Linked DNA regions of Arabidopsis thaliana. The protein of the gene in region 1 interacts with the protein of each later gene in a pairwise test. Each region holds a gene or a part of one and is shown on either strand. Other genes may lie near its edges. The genes, in order: CSD1 and HIPP20.

What was found.
Region 2: the proteins of CSD1 (region 1) and HIPP20 interact in a two-hybrid assay, tested with the Arabidopsis thaliana proteins (one large-scale study listed by BioGRID).

Annotation. Positions count from the first base shown.
Region 1 is NC_003070.9:2,823,240-2,831,636, forward strand, and holds CSD1 (copper/zinc superoxide dismutase 1), read left to right. Parts: upstream 1-3,820; 5' UTR 3,821-3,952; intron 3,953-4,440; 5' UTR 4,441-4,460; coding exon 4,461-4,536; intron 4,537-4,632; coding exon 4,633-4,734; intron 4,735-4,866; coding exon 4,867-4,962; intron 4,963-5,140; coding exon 5,141-5,172; intron 5,173-5,266; coding exon 5,267-5,342; intron 5,343-5,513; coding exon 5,514-5,567; intron 5,568-5,791; coding exon 5,792-5,814; 3' UTR 5,815-6,076; downstream 6,077-8,397. Other genes in the region: VAP27-2 (vamp/synaptobrevin-associated protein 27-2), read right to left, coding at 377-458, 588-658, 1,125-1,173; emb2411 (DNA replication helicase), read right to left, coding at 6,340-6,465, 6,552-6,671, 6,765-6,902, 6,966-7,039, 7,134-7,173, 7,530-7,667, 7,757-7,849, 7,929-8,006 and 1 more. UniProt on the Arabidopsis thaliana protein: Destroys radicals which are normally produced within the cells and which are toxic to biological systems.
Region 2 is NC_003070.9:26,800,978-26,809,374, reverse strand, and holds HIPP20 (Heavy metal transport/detoxification superfamily protein), read left to right. Parts: upstream 1-5,082; 5' UTR 5,083-5,428; coding exon 5,429-5,588; intron 5,589-5,754; coding exon 5,755-6,053; 3' UTR 6,054-6,278; downstream 6,279-8,397. Other genes in the region: AT1G71070 (Core-2/I-branching beta-1,6-N-acetylglucosaminyltransferase family protein), read left to right, coding at 223-703, 1,056-1,131, 1,215-1,330, 1,421-1,935; AT1G71060 (Tetratricopeptide repeat (TPR)-like superfamily protein), read left to right, coding at 2,192-3,724. UniProt on the Arabidopsis thaliana protein: Heavy-metal-binding protein. Binds cadmium. May be involved in cadmium transport and play a role in cadmium detoxification.

The DNA.
Region 1 (8,397 bases):
AACTCAATAACCCAAAGCATTGACTGAATTTGAATTTCAAGAACCCATTCATCATCAACCAGTTTAAAATTTTGAATGCTCAAACAAACCCAAAAATGCAGGTTCCACGTAATGAGTAATAACTTGAACTTTAATAATTCCATCCGGAGCAGATACCTTCTCTCTTGAACAACTACACTAAACTCTAAAAGCCTAGGATCTTAAAACAATGTCCAAACGCTGTTTAAGTCCAAGGGACAAAGGACAGATCTATACATATATTCCAGTTCATTTCCCGCCCCATGTAGACATCATGCAACAGTTTATCACATCGGCCTAAGAACGTCGGTGCAAGAAATTCAAGCATTGCTGGGAAGAATATAAAAAGTAGGCATACCAGTGAATTCACAGGTTGATTTAGGTGCAACAACACCAACATTTGGACGAACACAGTACTTCTTTGGTGATGTGGTTTTAACCTGTCAAAAACCACATCTAGTTTAGGTTTGTATACAGAAAGAATACTTTTTCTCAGAAATTTTATAAGATATTCGAAATCCTGAAGCCAGAAAGAAAGAGAAAAAGTTTGAGAAGAATCTTCTTTAGACCTTAAATGCAACATAATGATGGGTAGTATTGGTTAGCTGTACCACGCAGGAAGTTTGCTTCTTCAGGTCAACTACAAAAGATGAAACCAGTTAGTATTACAAGGATAACAATGCCAAGGCAAAGATATTCCTTTTACAACTTCCATATTTTATTATAGATCCTCAGAATCGATATGAGAGGTAAGAAACCACATCACAGAATGTCAGCACATACAAATCCAGTAGCAGGAAAGAGTTAGAAGATTCCTCCAAACAACAGCCACATTAACATCACATCAATTCATCTTACAGGAGAATAGACCCACAAACAATAGCACCACTATGATAGAATTCTAACGAAATAGTGAGAATTCAGAAAACTCGGTATTCATAACTGGAACATGTTGGCCACTTTGCTTAAGGAATAACACACCCTCGCTATGAAATCCACATTTTACAAAAAAATAAGAAACTATTAACGGGACCACAGTGTCTACTCACTGGAACTTAAAAATGATCATTTTACAATTGATAAGAATCAGTCCCCTTATATCTTACCTGCAAACTGCAACGTTCGTGGTTGAATATCCAACAGCGGCATATTCATGTTGCTGTGACAAAATGACTCAAGTATCAAACAGCTACCACTTGCAGCAGGATTCTCTCCACCCCTATTTCAACAAAAAAATAATAAGAGAAAGATCAGCCCAGAACCATTCAAGTATGAAACTGTCGACACTAGAGCGAAAAACAAACTCAGATCTATACTCTATTTGGGACAATCATAAACCCGCTCTCCCATTGGGAACATGACGAAATCTAACCAAACAGTCAACAATCAGAAAAGTTTCTCTGTTACACTCTTTCGAGTCCGGATTCTCGTCTTCCGTCACCATAAACAAACCACCGCACTAACTCGTCGACGACGCGTTCTCAAATCTGACGATACGAACTCGCCCGAAGACTCAAACGTGACTATATTTTACCTTAATGCGCTCGTTTTTTCTCAGCGATCCGACCGACACAATTTTTTGGGCAACGCGCTTTCGACTAGCCGGAAAACCAAATCGTCCTAGTCCCCCAGTGTGATCTAGTTACGCCACCACAGGCCTGATAGTATTAAAACAAAAGGGCGAAATAAAACGACGACGTTTACGAGGAGCGACTCCTCGGGATCCGGTAGCCAATAGTAAACTCAGATCACATAGATCTTCCCGAGCCCTAGCGATTTCGATTTCTAAAGCAGATTCTAAAGACAAAAATCAGGAAACTCGAGGAAGAGGAACCTAGTTTCGAAACAAAAACAAAAACCAGAGAAGAAGATGATCAACGAGAATGATGAAATCGGAAGGAAACCTTACCGTCTCTCCGACGAAGAACTAACGGAACGGAGCTTGAGATTGAGCGACGAAGAAGCAGCGATCGAGAGAAAGAGAGAAGTGCAAAAACTAATCTTAGTGAAGGCCAAGTATGGAAATGTATTAATGTGTTCAAACACATTAAAATTGAATTTTTTTTTAAGAAAAAGTATGGTACTGAGATTCAGAGATGGTGAATATCTGTTGTACCTAACAGCAATTTAGTAAACTATAATTTCTGACGACTATTTTTCGATACTTTTGTAACAATTATCGTAAAAAACAAAAAATTAAGTGAGATTACATTCGACGTTAGATGCCAGAAATAATATATATATGTGATTGTGAATATGTACCTTTTTTTCTTTTTTCAATGAGTGTAATATGAATGCTTTGAGAGGATTACACGCGTGATTCTGATTCGGATCACCAACTTCTTTTGCTTCCCTTTTAATTTCTTTCCTATCTTTTGCTTTTCCCATTCATCTCTCTCGCTTTCCACAAAGGCGAGATTTGAATACGTAATCCTAATTATACTCTCATAGAGATTTGGTAATTTGGCCCAAAATATCTTTCTACTTTGTAATATGTCGATGCATAGAAAACATAATCTTATTCTAACATTCACAAATCTCCTATATTTCCATATTGAATCTCTCAGTCTGGATCGGTTTGTAATCTCTGTCCAGCTACCTCTTACGTTTCAGGTGTTTCTATGATTTATCCATTGGCTTCATTGGCTGCCTATAACTTATATATCATGTTGCAATCTTTGTGTGTGTTGTGTTGGGGAGAGCTTATAGCCGGCCGCTCCTCCATTAGCTTCCAAATGGTTGAATCAGTCTGTATCAGATTTAAACTCAGTGATAGCACCCACGTTATGCATGATTTTTAAGATTTGATAAGCAGACTGTTTTTAACTTCAATTCAAGAGCATCATCCACTTTCGGCTTAATATCCTATATTAATTTCTTTAACAAGCTAAAATGAACATAATGAAAATAACTACACTCACTGATTGGCAATTACTAATATCTCAAAACATTAAGAAGTATTTTTTTTTTTTTTGGGTGAAAAGTCACTGTCTTTTTCTTAAAGCCAAAATTTATACGGAACGACAAAACAAAAAATATGACTAAAAACTTCTTAAGCGCAATCACTGACCATGCAGCCTATTTTAGTTTTTAAGTCTTTTATATACATTGGCTGTTATAGTCGTAAAACAATCAGGTATTTGTTATGGAGATAACAATTTGGGAACGCATAAATAGTGCCTCTGATGGTTGGAAGTGGAACAAAATCACAATATTTTTTTCTAGTGTATAAACAACATACAAATATCATGTCACCTGCAAAGAGAATAATATGCCAAAATTTTGATATAATACGCATAACAGAGTTTATATATCAACGTTCTAGACTTATAGGTGATCATCCATTATCTTTAACCTCTTGTAGCTAGCTAGGTTAATTAGGAGATGCATGCATCTAGATAGGCATATATAGTCTAACATTACAAATCCATCAAAGGTTCCCTTCTTCTTCTCCAAAGAAATTAGCTACATACAAATTTGACAGACTCTCATAAATATATATATATATGTTTATAGATTATATTATTAAAAATACAAATGATATTTTCTGTATTTTGTTAAAATTAGTTCTTAAGATTTTATGAAATTTATAATTGAGCCAACGTCTTAGAAATAATTATACGACATACGTAATTTAAATTCAATGACGATGACTTAAACTTAATGTTTTACAGTATTTATCCAATCAAATTTTACCACATCAGCAGAGAAGAGTCAAACTTAGGAAAAGTCTATCTTGGATTATCCTGACGTGGCTTTTTTCAAGTAAGAAATAAATTAATGCTAATCACGTACGTACCTACCCAGCTTTTGGACCTCGTGGGCTATATAGAAAACAAGTAACCAAAGAGAGACGAAGCAAAAACATTCAGAGAGAAAATTCAGCATTTTTGATAGCTCAAGCACTTGATTCTTTCCAAAGGGGTTTCCTGAGGTATGTTTGCTTTCCTTTTTGGTTTTAATTTGTTTCAAATCTTAGATCGATTCTTCACTTTGGATTCTTAAATCGATTCTTGTCCTCGTCTGTGCTGATTTCGAACTTTTCCGATTCCAACTCCGCCGAATCTACGTATAGATCTTTGAGGAAATGTTTTTTTCGATTTATGATCGGCGGATCTACCGATTCCTTTGCTTGTTTTCTTTGGATGTATCACACTCTTCTGAAGATGCCTTGACCTTTTTATGTGAACTAGTAAGAGTTATTATGGCTTAGATCGTTGAATATCTGGTATATGTGTTCTTATAATGGGATTAGGATCTATGTTTTGGTGCGTATTAAAGCTTAGTTGAGATTGATGTTTTTGGGTTTTCAAATTCTGTTTCTTGTCTGTTGAGCTAATTTAATGTTGTGTAGAACCATTTGTTTTTTTCTGGATCTTTACTTATTTGTATATGTATTGGTTTATGTTTATGTTTTTACAGATCACAAAGGCCAAGTAACAATGGCGAAAGGAGTTGCAGTTTTGAACAGCAGTGAGGGTGTTACGGGGACTATCTTTTTCACCCAGGAAGGCGATGGTAGTTCTTTATAAGAGTGCTTTATAAGATCTTTGAAGCCTATCTTTTTTTTCCTTCCTCTCAAATGATTGAGTTCTTTGTTTGGGTTTTTTGCAGGTGTGACCACTGTGAGTGGAACAGTTTCTGGCCTTAAGCCTGGTCTTCATGGTTTCCATGTCCATGCTCTTGGTGACACCACTAACGGTTGCATGTCTACTGGTAACTCTTATGCATACCTCTCTGCAAATTTTCAATGGATTAGAAACTTTTGGAGCTTATATTTATGTTTCGTATTGGGAACTTTAATTATCGCCAAAAGTAACTGAACTTGTTATTAAATTCCTATTTTAGGTCCACATTTCAACCCCGATGGTAAAACACACGGTGCCCCTGAGGATGCTAATCGACATGCTGGTGATCTAGGAAACATCACTGTTGGAGATGATGGTATGCCTTCTCAACATTTGTATCCCTCATCTCAAGCTTATTTAGAGCTGTTTTGCATCAAATTTCGCTACTCTCTCAAATTTGATTTTGCAGTCTTAGTTGTATAGTACAGTTGTCACCTTTGACCAGCGGTAGTGTTCATGGATTTACATAAAAGCTTTTGTTTTGCTTTTCTCAGGAACTGCCACCTTCACAATCACTGATTGCCAGGTTTATAGCTGTGTACCTTTTTATGCTTTTTTCCTAATCCAAACCTGCTGTAGTGAACCAATCTCTTAAGATACATTTTGTGTTGGCTTAACAGATTCCTCTTACTGGACCAAACTCTATTGTTGGTAGGGCTGTTGTTGTCCATGCAGACCCTGATGACCTCGGAAAGGGTAATGACCTTTGACCATTTATTTTCTTGAGATTTTATTTACCCATATTATGCTAACAGAATTTAAAAGTTAGCCAGTCCGTTTGAGGGCATCCAATGTAGAATGCTTATGATTCAACATCCATCCTAAGAACAGTTTATAACCTAGTGTCATTGGTGTTTTACATTTCAGGAGGCCATGAACTCAGCCTGGCTACTGGAAACGCAGGCGGCCGTGTTGCTTGCGGTAAGTAAAACAAAATTACATTTTTCTCACATCTCCTGTGAAAACCATGTATATTCTATTTAATCTTGATCATTACCATCATTGTCACCTTAGACTCCATTGATTCTCTGGTAACTCGGGGTTCATCTTGGTTTATCTATTGACTATTATTATCTTGCATTTTGGGGGTCCAACTGAATGGTAAAATTATCAAACTGATTGACCTTTTGTCTATGACTTCGCAGGCATCATTGGTCTCCAGGGCTAAAGCTGCTACGTTTCCAAAGAAGAGATTGATGTAATAAGGAGGTCCAACCTTAGACCTGGGTTTGGTAGTTGTGTGTATCTTCTGGTGTGTGGCTAAAAACCTATGAGCTTAGTGTGGCTCAAAGCATTTTTAATTCAGACAGAAAACAGAGAAAATTCCGTACTTTTATTATTTCATGAATAAAAAAGAGTTGATTTACTGTTATAAGTTCTTAAAGGTAACAAGAGTCCTGGATATGGTACTTCAATATGCGAATGTTTTTACAAACACAAACTTCTTTGTTCGTTCAAAATCTACTGTCATAACGTTAACTGAGCTAACCTTCAAATGAAACTTCTCCATCATTACAATATCTCCGCTTTTCTGTTACATGTCATTATGCAAGTGATTCATGCTCTCCTGATTTCTTTCTTATCAACAAATTCAGACTCGGAAAGTAAATCGATTATACATTATCATTCCTTTTGGACAAAAATGGAGATACAAGTTAAAATTGTGATATTTGAAACGTTTCTTGATGAGTTGTTATGGTTTTAAATCTCCCGGCAACAGATTCAAGATACCTGACTGCTCCTTAACCTTGTTTAGAAGAAGCATCAGAAGTGGAACTCTTGAGAGTGTTCTTTGTGATCCCACCATTATCAGCTTTTTCTGTCAAACCCAAACAAATTTCAATCAATGATCGATGGAATAAACAACATTACTCAACACCACATCAGTTGTTCTCTCAGTCTCACCTTTGCTCGTGTCAAAGCAACGTTGATCCTATGCCAATCTCCGAGCAGTGAAGAAGCAGAGCTCCTTGGTTTCTCTCGCGATCTCACAAAAGATACCAATATGCAGTCTTTATCTCTTCCCTACAAAATGTGAGCTCATCAAACGTTGGTTATCGAGCACTTGCCAAATCAAGATAGTCATGAAAAGAAGAACGGTAGGTCCTAGAGGCAAACCTGATATTTGTCAATAGTATGTATCTCCACAGGAGTTGTCGGAATGGCATGTTGAATGAGGCTGGCTTGTGAGTTATAAGGAGTAATGATTCCAATATCTTTACTATCCACTCCATTGTTAACTAGCTCCTCTACAATCTAAGTAAAGCAGTTAGCCCACTTTTTCATAAGTTTAAATGCATCTTGCATACTTAACAGTACCTCAGCTATTATGGAAGCTTCAACTGGATTGTTGATCGCATTCTGATCCCTAGCTTCAAAAGCACGCAGCATATCTACAAAAACATATCATATAGTCTCGTGAAAACTCCAGCCCATATGGCAAAGCGCTCATGTGAAAAAAAAAGCAACTAGTAAGTAGCCAAAAACCTGTATTAACAAATACAACTGTTCTTGTTGGCTCCAGAACCTGATGGAAACAAATATAAGTTAAGATGCTAATTAGATTATTAGTGGACAACGCCTACACCGAGTCAATGTGCAACATAACAAATATTGTAAAGCAAGCGACTGGAGCCAAGCTGAAATGCTTTGTCCCTTTGTCTAATTAAATAAAGCATTGCATCAATATCTGAAAGTGGTGTTAAGATTTTCATAGGCTGTCCAGGCCAAGGCTAGTTGCATAATCAAATGCCCAGGTATCCAGAGTTTTAAGCAGAAGGAACATATTATATACACAGATCTAGGTTTACACAGATGTGATAAAATGTTCTTAGTTGCTTAAAGATGCCTCTACTTATAAATGTTTAAGAACAACACACTGACCTTTTTAAGCCATGGCGAAGTAGAACTGGAGGTAGAAAGCACAAGTGTGGCATCAGCTACTTCAGCAGAACCGCAGCATAATCTGTCTCCATATATCAAGGCATTTGATAGTTCCATAATACCTCGACACATTCGGTACTGCACATAGAAGATGTCTCAACAAAGCAGAAAGGCATACCTATTAACAACACGTACTAACATAGTTTCATCTTAGTAGATACGGCAACCTGGTTTTGTAACACTGAAATTGCCTGAGGATGGGCTTCTGATAACCTGCGAAACAAGCTTATTCCCATCCCATTCTCTCTAGCCTCTGTACTCTGCTTTCATCAACACAACAATGATGCTGAAACTACAGGAAAAAAACAGAGGTATGTCAAAAAAGGTGTAAATGCTTACCTGCACCAGTGGCGGTAGTTGATAGTGGTCACCAACAAGTACAAAGGTAGATGCAAACAGCAAGGGCCCTATCGAAACCTGATCAGTCCAAGAAACCGCGCATTTATTAATATTATTCACTTCAAATTCAACTTTGTCGGCTCTAAATTTCAATTTTTGTACATAAGATAATTTTGTCAAATAGGGGCCACTGGGTAAATTTTTTGTATTACGCAAGATAAAAAATCTGTTATCTAATTCCATAGCCATTGTAAGAACTGCATTTTGACTCAAACTATTGGGAAGAATTGAGAGATCATACAGGGAGGGCAATCTGGCCAGCTTCATCAATAATGCATACATCAAATCGCCTATTCACAAGCAAAGGACTATTGATTCCCAAACATGTAGAGGCCACAACTTTGACCTGGTCCAACTTTTTCTTTATGTCCTCGACACTGCACATATTCATGGCTGTCACAAAGATAAG
Region 2 (8,397 bases), about 24 Mb from region 1:
CTTTTTCTCTCTTACCTCCATTGGCTTCTTCTTGAGATCTCGTCAGGCTCTGATCCCAATCTATGTTCGATCTCACTCTCACCGAGATCTCATCTTCCTCCATTTTTTCAAAGATCCATATATGAGCTCTAAAACCACAGATTTCAATCTGTGAATCCGTATATATGCTCAATCGGAGCCAGATTCTAACAAATCAAAGAAAGGAAGAAGAAGTGAAGAACAATGGGAGCTGAAAAGAAATGGCTTTTCACACTCTTCTCTGTAGTATTCCTCTCAGTGTTCCTTCTCTTACTTTATTCTATCTCTGCTTTCACCTCTAAACCATTCCCTTCTTCAATTCGTCACGGTGCTCATTACCCACCTGCTTTTGCTTATTACATAACCGGTGGTCGTGGAGATAATGACCGGATCTCTCGGTTATTGCTTGCGGTTTATCATCCTAGGAATCGGTATCTTATCCATCTGGGTGCTGAAGCTACTGATGCAGAGAGGCTAGCTCTTCTCTCTGATTTGAAATCTGTTCCTGCTGTGAATGCTTTTGGGAATGTTGATGTTTTAGGGAAAGTTGATCGTTTGTCTGAGAATGGTGCTTCTAAGATTGCTTCTACTCTTCACGCTGTTTCTATTCTTCTTAAGCTTGATCCTACTTGGAATTGGTTTATTGAGCTTAGTGCTTTGGATTATCCTCTCATAACTCAAGATGGTATGTTTTAATTTTGATTTCTTTCTATTTTAATCTTAAACTAGAGAAGAAACTAGCTTTTTAGTTTGCTTGTGATTTTGATTCATTTTCACTCTAGATCTTTGTTTTTGACCTGTCTTTGAGCTTTTTAATGTTCTAGTTTCTGCTCTTAGCTTCTTGAGATTGCAGTGTTTATGATATACTCTAGAATATATATACTCTTTTTCTGGAAATAAAGTGGAAATGTAATCACTTTCACTGATCTCTTTATGGCAAATAATCTGATTTAGAACTTTATTACTCCACTGGTTGTTTGTTTGTCTTCTTATGACCTGGATTCTAATGAATTTTCTTTGCTCATGATTTCTCTCAGACCTATCTCATGTGTTTGCCTCGGTGAACAGAAGTCTCAATTTTATTGATCACACTAGTGACCTTGCTTGGAAAGAGTAAGTAAACAACTTTTGCCAGTCTCTTGAACTGTTTCTTGTACATTTGGTGGGGATTATGATGATAATGGATCTTTATGTAGATCTCAGAGAATCAAGCCTATTGTTGTTGATCCAGCACTTTACTTAGCTAGAAGAACTCAGCTCTTCACTGCTACCGAAAAGCGACCAACACCAGATGCATTCAAAGTCTTTACAGGCAAAAGATTCAGAAGCTAATAATACTTTCTCTGGCTACATTCATTATATGTATACAATCTCATGTTGCTGGTTTGTGATATCACTGCAGGCTCGCCTTGGATTGTACTAAGCAGACCTTTCCTAGAATACTGCATCTTCGGTTGGGATAATTTACCAAGAATCCTTCTCATGTATTTTAACAATGTCATTCTCTCTGAAGAATGCTACTTCCACACGGTGATATGCAACGCACCGGAGTTCAGTAACACGACAGTCAACGGGGACTTACGATACATGATATGGGACAGTCCACCAAAAATGGAACCACATTTCCTTACTATATCGGATTTCGACCAAATGGCTCAAAGCGGAGCAGCTTTCGCTAGACAATTCAAGAAAGATGATCCAGTACTCGACATGGTCGATAGAGAGATCCTGAAACGTGGACGTTACAGAGTCACTCCTGGCGCTTGGTGCTCGAGCCACAGTAGCTGGTGGACAGATCCTTGCTCGGAGTGGGATGAAGTAAACATTGTCAAAGCTGGACCTCAAGCTAAGAAGCTAGACGAAACAATAACGAATTTTCTTGATGATTTGAATTCACAATCGAATCAATGCAAGTGATTATACGACACACGAGACTACATTGTTTTCAGTCTCTGTAAGGTTAAATTCTTTGGGCAACAACACAGTGGCTGCTGTATTTATACGAGGAGAAGGAGAAAGAGAAGAGAAAGGAGATATTTTTATTCTCTTTCCCAGATTTTGTAATTCCTTTGTTAAAGCCATTAGAGAACTTTTGTTCGCAAATTTGATAAACCTTTGTTCCTCTGTTGTATCTTAGTTAATTGAAAGTTAAAGATCTAAACTTTCTCCTCCAATGGTCTTCTCTCGATTCTTCAGAGTCACCGGAGTGAATCTCTCTCGACGTGTGTACTCTCGAATCTCTTCGTCTTCGTCACCGAGTCTCGAATCGATTCCATGGATTCATAAAGCTTCAAACTTTACACTTTACGGATCATTTCACGCTTCTTCTGTTGAAACCCAAGTTTCTGCTAATGATGCTTCACAAGACGCAGAGAGAATCTGCAAGATTCTCACCAAATTCACGGATTCAAAGGTTGAAACTTTGCTGAACGAAGCTTCTGTTAAACTTTCACCAGCCTTAATCGAAGAAGTACTGAAGAAGCTAAGCAACGCTGGTGTTTTAGCTTTGTCTGTATTCAAATGGGCAGAGAATCAAAAGGGTTTCAAGCACACTACTTCAAACTACAACGCATTGATCGAATCATTAGGTAAGATCAAACAATTCAAACTCATTTGGAGTTTAGTAGACGACATGAAAGCAAAAAAGCTTTTGAGCAAAGAGACATTTGCTCTTATCTCTAGACGTTACGCTAGAGCTAGGAAAGTTAAAGAAGCTATAGGTGCGTTTCATAAGATGGAAGAGTTTGGGTTTAAGATGGAATCAAGTGATTTTAATCGTATGCTTGATACTTTGAGCAAATCTAGAAATGTTGGGGATGCACAGAAGGTGTTCGATAAAATGAAAAAGAAAAGGTTTGAGCCTGATATTAAGTCTTATACTATTCTACTTGAAGGTTGGGGTCAGGAGTTGAATCTTTTGAGAGTTGATGAGGTTAACAGAGAGATGAAAGACGAAGGTTTTGAACCGGATGTTGTCGCTTACGGTATTATTATCAATGCGCATTGCAAGGCGAAGAAGTATGAAGAAGCTATTAGATTCTTCAATGAGATGGAACAGAGGAATTGTAAGCCAAGTCCTCACATTTTCTGTAGTTTGATTAATGGACTTGGCTCTGAGAAGAAGTTGAATGATGCTCTTGAGTTCTTTGAGAGATCAAAGAGTTCCGGGTTTCCTCTTGAAGCACCTACTTACAATGCGCTAGTAGGTGCTTATTGCTGGTCACAGCGAATGGAAGACGCATACAAAACCGTTGATGAGATGAGATTAAAAGGGGTTGGGCCAAATGCTAGAACTTATGATATAATTCTTCATCATTTGATTAGAATGCAGCGCTCGAAAGAAGCGTATGAAGTTTATCAGACGATGAGTTGTGAACCGACGGTGAGTACTTACGAGATCATGGTGAGGATGTTTTGTAACAAAGAGAGATTGGATATGGCGATCAAGATTTGGGACGAGATGAAAGGGAAAGGTGTTCTTCCAGGAATGCACATGTTCTCAAGTTTGATCACAGCTCTGTGCCATGAGAACAAATTAGACGAGGCTTGTGAGTATTTCAATGAGATGTTGGATGTGGGTATTAGGCCACCGGGACATATGTTTAGCCGTCTTAAACAAACACTTCTCGATGAAGGCCGGAAAGATAAAGTCACGGATTTGGTTGTAAAGATGGATAGGCTGAGGAAAACCCAACTTGTTGGCTGAAGTGGGTTTCATGGCTCTGTTTTCTCTTCTTGTTTATCTCTATTACTACATTTTGTTTGATATTTTTGGACTATTGAATAGTTATGATCTATGATCTATCCAAAATTTCAGAGCTCTGAGCATTTAGAGACAGTTTTCTATCCGAGCAAAAGTGTATGATGTAGTCACCATATAGAAAACACTGTTATTTCGTTATGAGAAATGGACAAGTCAATGTTATTAAACAAACAAGAATGGGTCAAAGTAATTGAATGGGCTATGATGATTTTTTCTTTTCACAAATAGTAGATAGTTAAAAACAGTTGTTGTGTTCTTTTTTGTAAATGAAGGATGTGGACATGCATAATCCATTGATCAAAGCTTATGTTTCCTTGATTTAGTAACCTTTAATTTTGAAAGTGAGGCTATGCTAAATGCTATGGCATGCTATATAATAGCTGTCGATTTGGTAATCTCGAGATTTTATGTTGTCACTGGCTATTTCAATGAAACCCTCTTATGGAATTAACTTCATATCGGTAACACCCCTCTTTAGTATATTGCTGAATTTTTTTCAAGAATTACTCGTGGGGTACTTTAACTCAAAATTGAAATTCGATCAATTGTGTTGAGTAGCTTAGAAGAGAAAAATAGAAAAAATATAATTTTGTAAAAGGAAAAAAAAAAAGAGGTCTAAGAAGAATATGATAATTGGGGTGTAAGAGAAGAAAATGCCAACGAAGTTTATAGGGTGGAAAGTATAAAGCAAAAAACAAAAATGTCTAAATGTACATAATAAAAAGATGTGGAGGGGCTTTATAACAATTCTTATTTCAAACTATAGACTACCTAAATAGTTTGATTGAGTTGTCTACTTCGTATAAGATCGGACCCCCACACCTTATTTTTTCTCATCGAATCATTGCCCTTTAAATTGCTACATTCCTTTCTATTTTTCTCTTATAACTATTCCCTTTTACTGTTTCTGACCTAAATTGAAATAATTGAATGTGTGATTGTGTAGTTTATCTATAAACCCTATTATCATTCATCCGATCGTGTACCTATCCAAAGTAACAAAAGTGTTAAATTAATTAGAAGGGTCATGTCGTTTTCAATACACGATTACAATTTTTTCATAAACTTATATATACATACCGACATCATATATATGTATACGACGAAAATGATCATAAACAAAATTGTAAAAGAAAAAGATTAGATGGTAAAAGAAGAATCTACACAACCATAATTGCCATTCTCAATGAATTAACTTTGACGCATGTGAATTTTGAGGTGACTCAGGTGATGTGGATGATAAACCTCTAATCCCGTGACATTGTTTTATTATAAACGACCGATCGGACATTGTTAGAAAAAAAGAAATTATAACTACAAACTCTTCTGTTTATTATTATTATTATAGTTAGCTTTTTAATATAAAACGGATATTAGAATTTTGTAACAAAGAAATCGGCGGGAGTCGTGTGCTTTAGCCCAAAAACATTGGCCTCGTTGTCCAACGTGTGTATTTGGAGGAAAACATCATTAGAGGGCCACATATACATCTCTCTAATTACACTTTACGAATATTAAACACATTTAATTGTACTTAATCCTCGGCATAACACTTGTCCATTAAGTCACCATGTACTTGCTATAAATATGGTCAAGTCCAGTCCATAATATATGCATCTCTGATCTTTCTTGGTGAGAGTAATAGACATGGGAGCTCTTGATTCTCTTTCCGAGTATATCTCCGACTACTTCCGCGTCACCAGAAAAAGGAGGAAGCGGAAAGTCATGCAGACGGTGAATATAAAGGTGAAAATGGACTGCGATGGTTGTGAACGCAGAGTCAAGAACGCGGTTTCCTCCATGAAAGGTTCGAATCTCCAACTCGTAGACTACTTATGTCATGAATGGTTTCTGTAAGTTTTTTTGTAATTTTGATTTCCATTAAACGAGTACTCATGTAAGCACGCCAAACCATTTCTACATACAACAAGCCAAATTAACACGGTCTTTATATCAATATAAAAATCGCGCAGGTGTGAAATCGGTGGAGGTGAATAGAAAGATACATAAAGTGACGGTGAGTGGATACGTGGAACCAAAGAAGGTATTAAAGAGAATCGAAAGGACAGGGAAAAAAGCGGAGATATGGCCGTACGTTCCTTACAACATGGTCGCATATCCATACGCGGTCGGAACTTACGACAAAAAAGCTCCGGCCGGTTATGTCAGGAAATCTGAGCAGTCGCAGTTGCAGCTGTTGCCGGGAGCTCCCGAGAACCACTACATTTCTCTTTTTAGCGACGAGAATCCCAACGCTTGCACCGTTATGTAATAAATAATTTACTCTAGTAGTATTATCCACAGCATGTAACGTTTTTATCAAGCAATTGGCTCTCTCTCTCTCTCTCTTTTTGTTATGTTAATGCAGAGAGGAAGAACCAACTATAGCTAGTTGTGTAAAAATTTCAATATTTCAAAATAAGTTAGTGGAATGTGTATAATCAATGTGTTTAATATCAAAGTATTTTCGGGTGATTTATGTTTTTATTTACGATTATGCAAATTATTATATTAGTGGAATTAATTGAAGTTATTTAAAAATAAATACGAAAAAAGGAAAATCGGTTAAGTGCTCAGGTTGGTTAAAAATTAATTAAGAGAAAATAAACAAAAAGCTACGTGCTGTTGGAGTTTTGTTGGTTTTGTGAAGGCAAATTAGTCAGCGAAAAAAGTGTTGTGAAGTGGTTTTGTGGTAATCTATGCGGCTGTGCCAAGTGAAATCCATACATCATCAGATAATAAAATATCAACTTTTTATCTCTATATTTTATCTTCCATTACGTAGTTTTTGACACATAGAAGATCCAACAGCGTTTAACTAGATTTTCTTCGGAGCCATTAAATATAGTTTGTTCCTCAATCGAAGTAGATATGCGGCTGATGATGCAGCCATAAAAAAAGAAAGGTATTTGTAGTCATAACTTTCTTAGTAAATGACTTTAGGTTTAGAAAATGACGCGTAACTAATCAAGAAAATTAGTAGTAACCGTAATTAACTTGGAACGTAACCATAGCAAAATATTTCCGACCACTCGCAAGGAGACAAGTCAATTTGTAAGTGAAATTAGAAATTGTGTTTCTTACGAAACGGTTAATTTATTGCACAATTTGGTCTGCTTCTTGTTTTCTTTATAACTATTTTGAGTATGTTTGTTACATGCATGGATGATCAGAAATGTAATATATTATTCTTCGAATAAAACTGTGGCACCGTGCACATATCCAACCTTAATACATTATAGTCTAATCTTAATATATTTTTGTAGTTCAAACCTTGCTGTGAATTTGTATATAATATACTGGGAGATTTTATTCTTGTACAACTCAAAACAAATTAATGCCTCACGTAAAACAAACACCTGTTTAATCCTTAGAATGAGTGATCTTTAAATAAAATCCCAAGAATATTAGAATTTGAAATTTCATAATATTATGGTGCTTATGATGAGATGACATTTAAGTATCTCGCTGGATATTTCAAATCAACTGTTTGGGACGAAACTGATATGACTGATTATTAAATTATGACTTCGCATAACTCGAAAGTTGAAACACAAAAATGGATATGTTAGATTTGAAACTGTGAAAAGGACGCAAACAAATGGAGAGATGAGAAGCGGCACACGAAGGGAAAACGCAAACGCGCGTTTGAACATATCAAGGTGGGACTTAAGGTAAAATCGTCGTTTGATGGCGACAACCGCATTTTTAGCTAGGTGGGAGATGGGCTTTTGGATAACCTCCACGTGTACAGTACCCCAGACATCGACGGCTTCCAGTCATTTTGACTAGGAACACCAAAACATAGACAGGCTCAAAAGTCAATAGTACTAGCAATTATCTGTGAAACCAAAAACGAACCAAACCTGAAATTTGTAGAACTGGATTGATCACAAAATCTGTATATAATAGGAACTTTGTATATATAATGGTTGATTTTGTTTTAAATTTTGTTGATTCAGAGTCAAATTGATTAATTTTGGTTTAATTTGATTTTTTTCCTCACACTCTTCAAAAAGTTAATTTGGTGTATTTTCTTGTTAAATTTAATTTTTAGGTTTCTTGGATTTGTCTGAATTATTTTTTAAAAGCATGAATATATATTGTAGTTGTATAATATATGATGTGTATTCAAATGAAAAGCATAGAGTATATATATATATATATGTATAACCACTATTTGCGTGTTTTTTACGTTAGAACTCATGCTAGATGATAATCTTTGGAGTAGCATCAAGAGAAGTTTAAAAGGAACTATAGTTCCAACTTGTAACAAATAAAGAATATGTTAGGTTTTTGGGCTGTTTTTGATTCTCCCTTTTGAAAAATTATTTGTTGATGCTGGGTTCATTTTGGGCCTGGCTAGGTATATTTTATATTGTCAGTCTTTTATAGACTGATGGGTTACTTTTTCGCTACTTTCAATATTAATGAAGAAAAAGTTTATAAAAAAAAACAGAAAAAACAAAAAGAATTAGTTTTAGAGAACATTAGGTTTGCTAGATTTCGGCTAACTCGCAGAGAAATGGTTCGACCTTTAAGGCAAACATAACTACAAATTTCAATGGTTGAAATTTGGTGTTTGGACATGCGAATAAAGATCTGTTTAGTGAAGG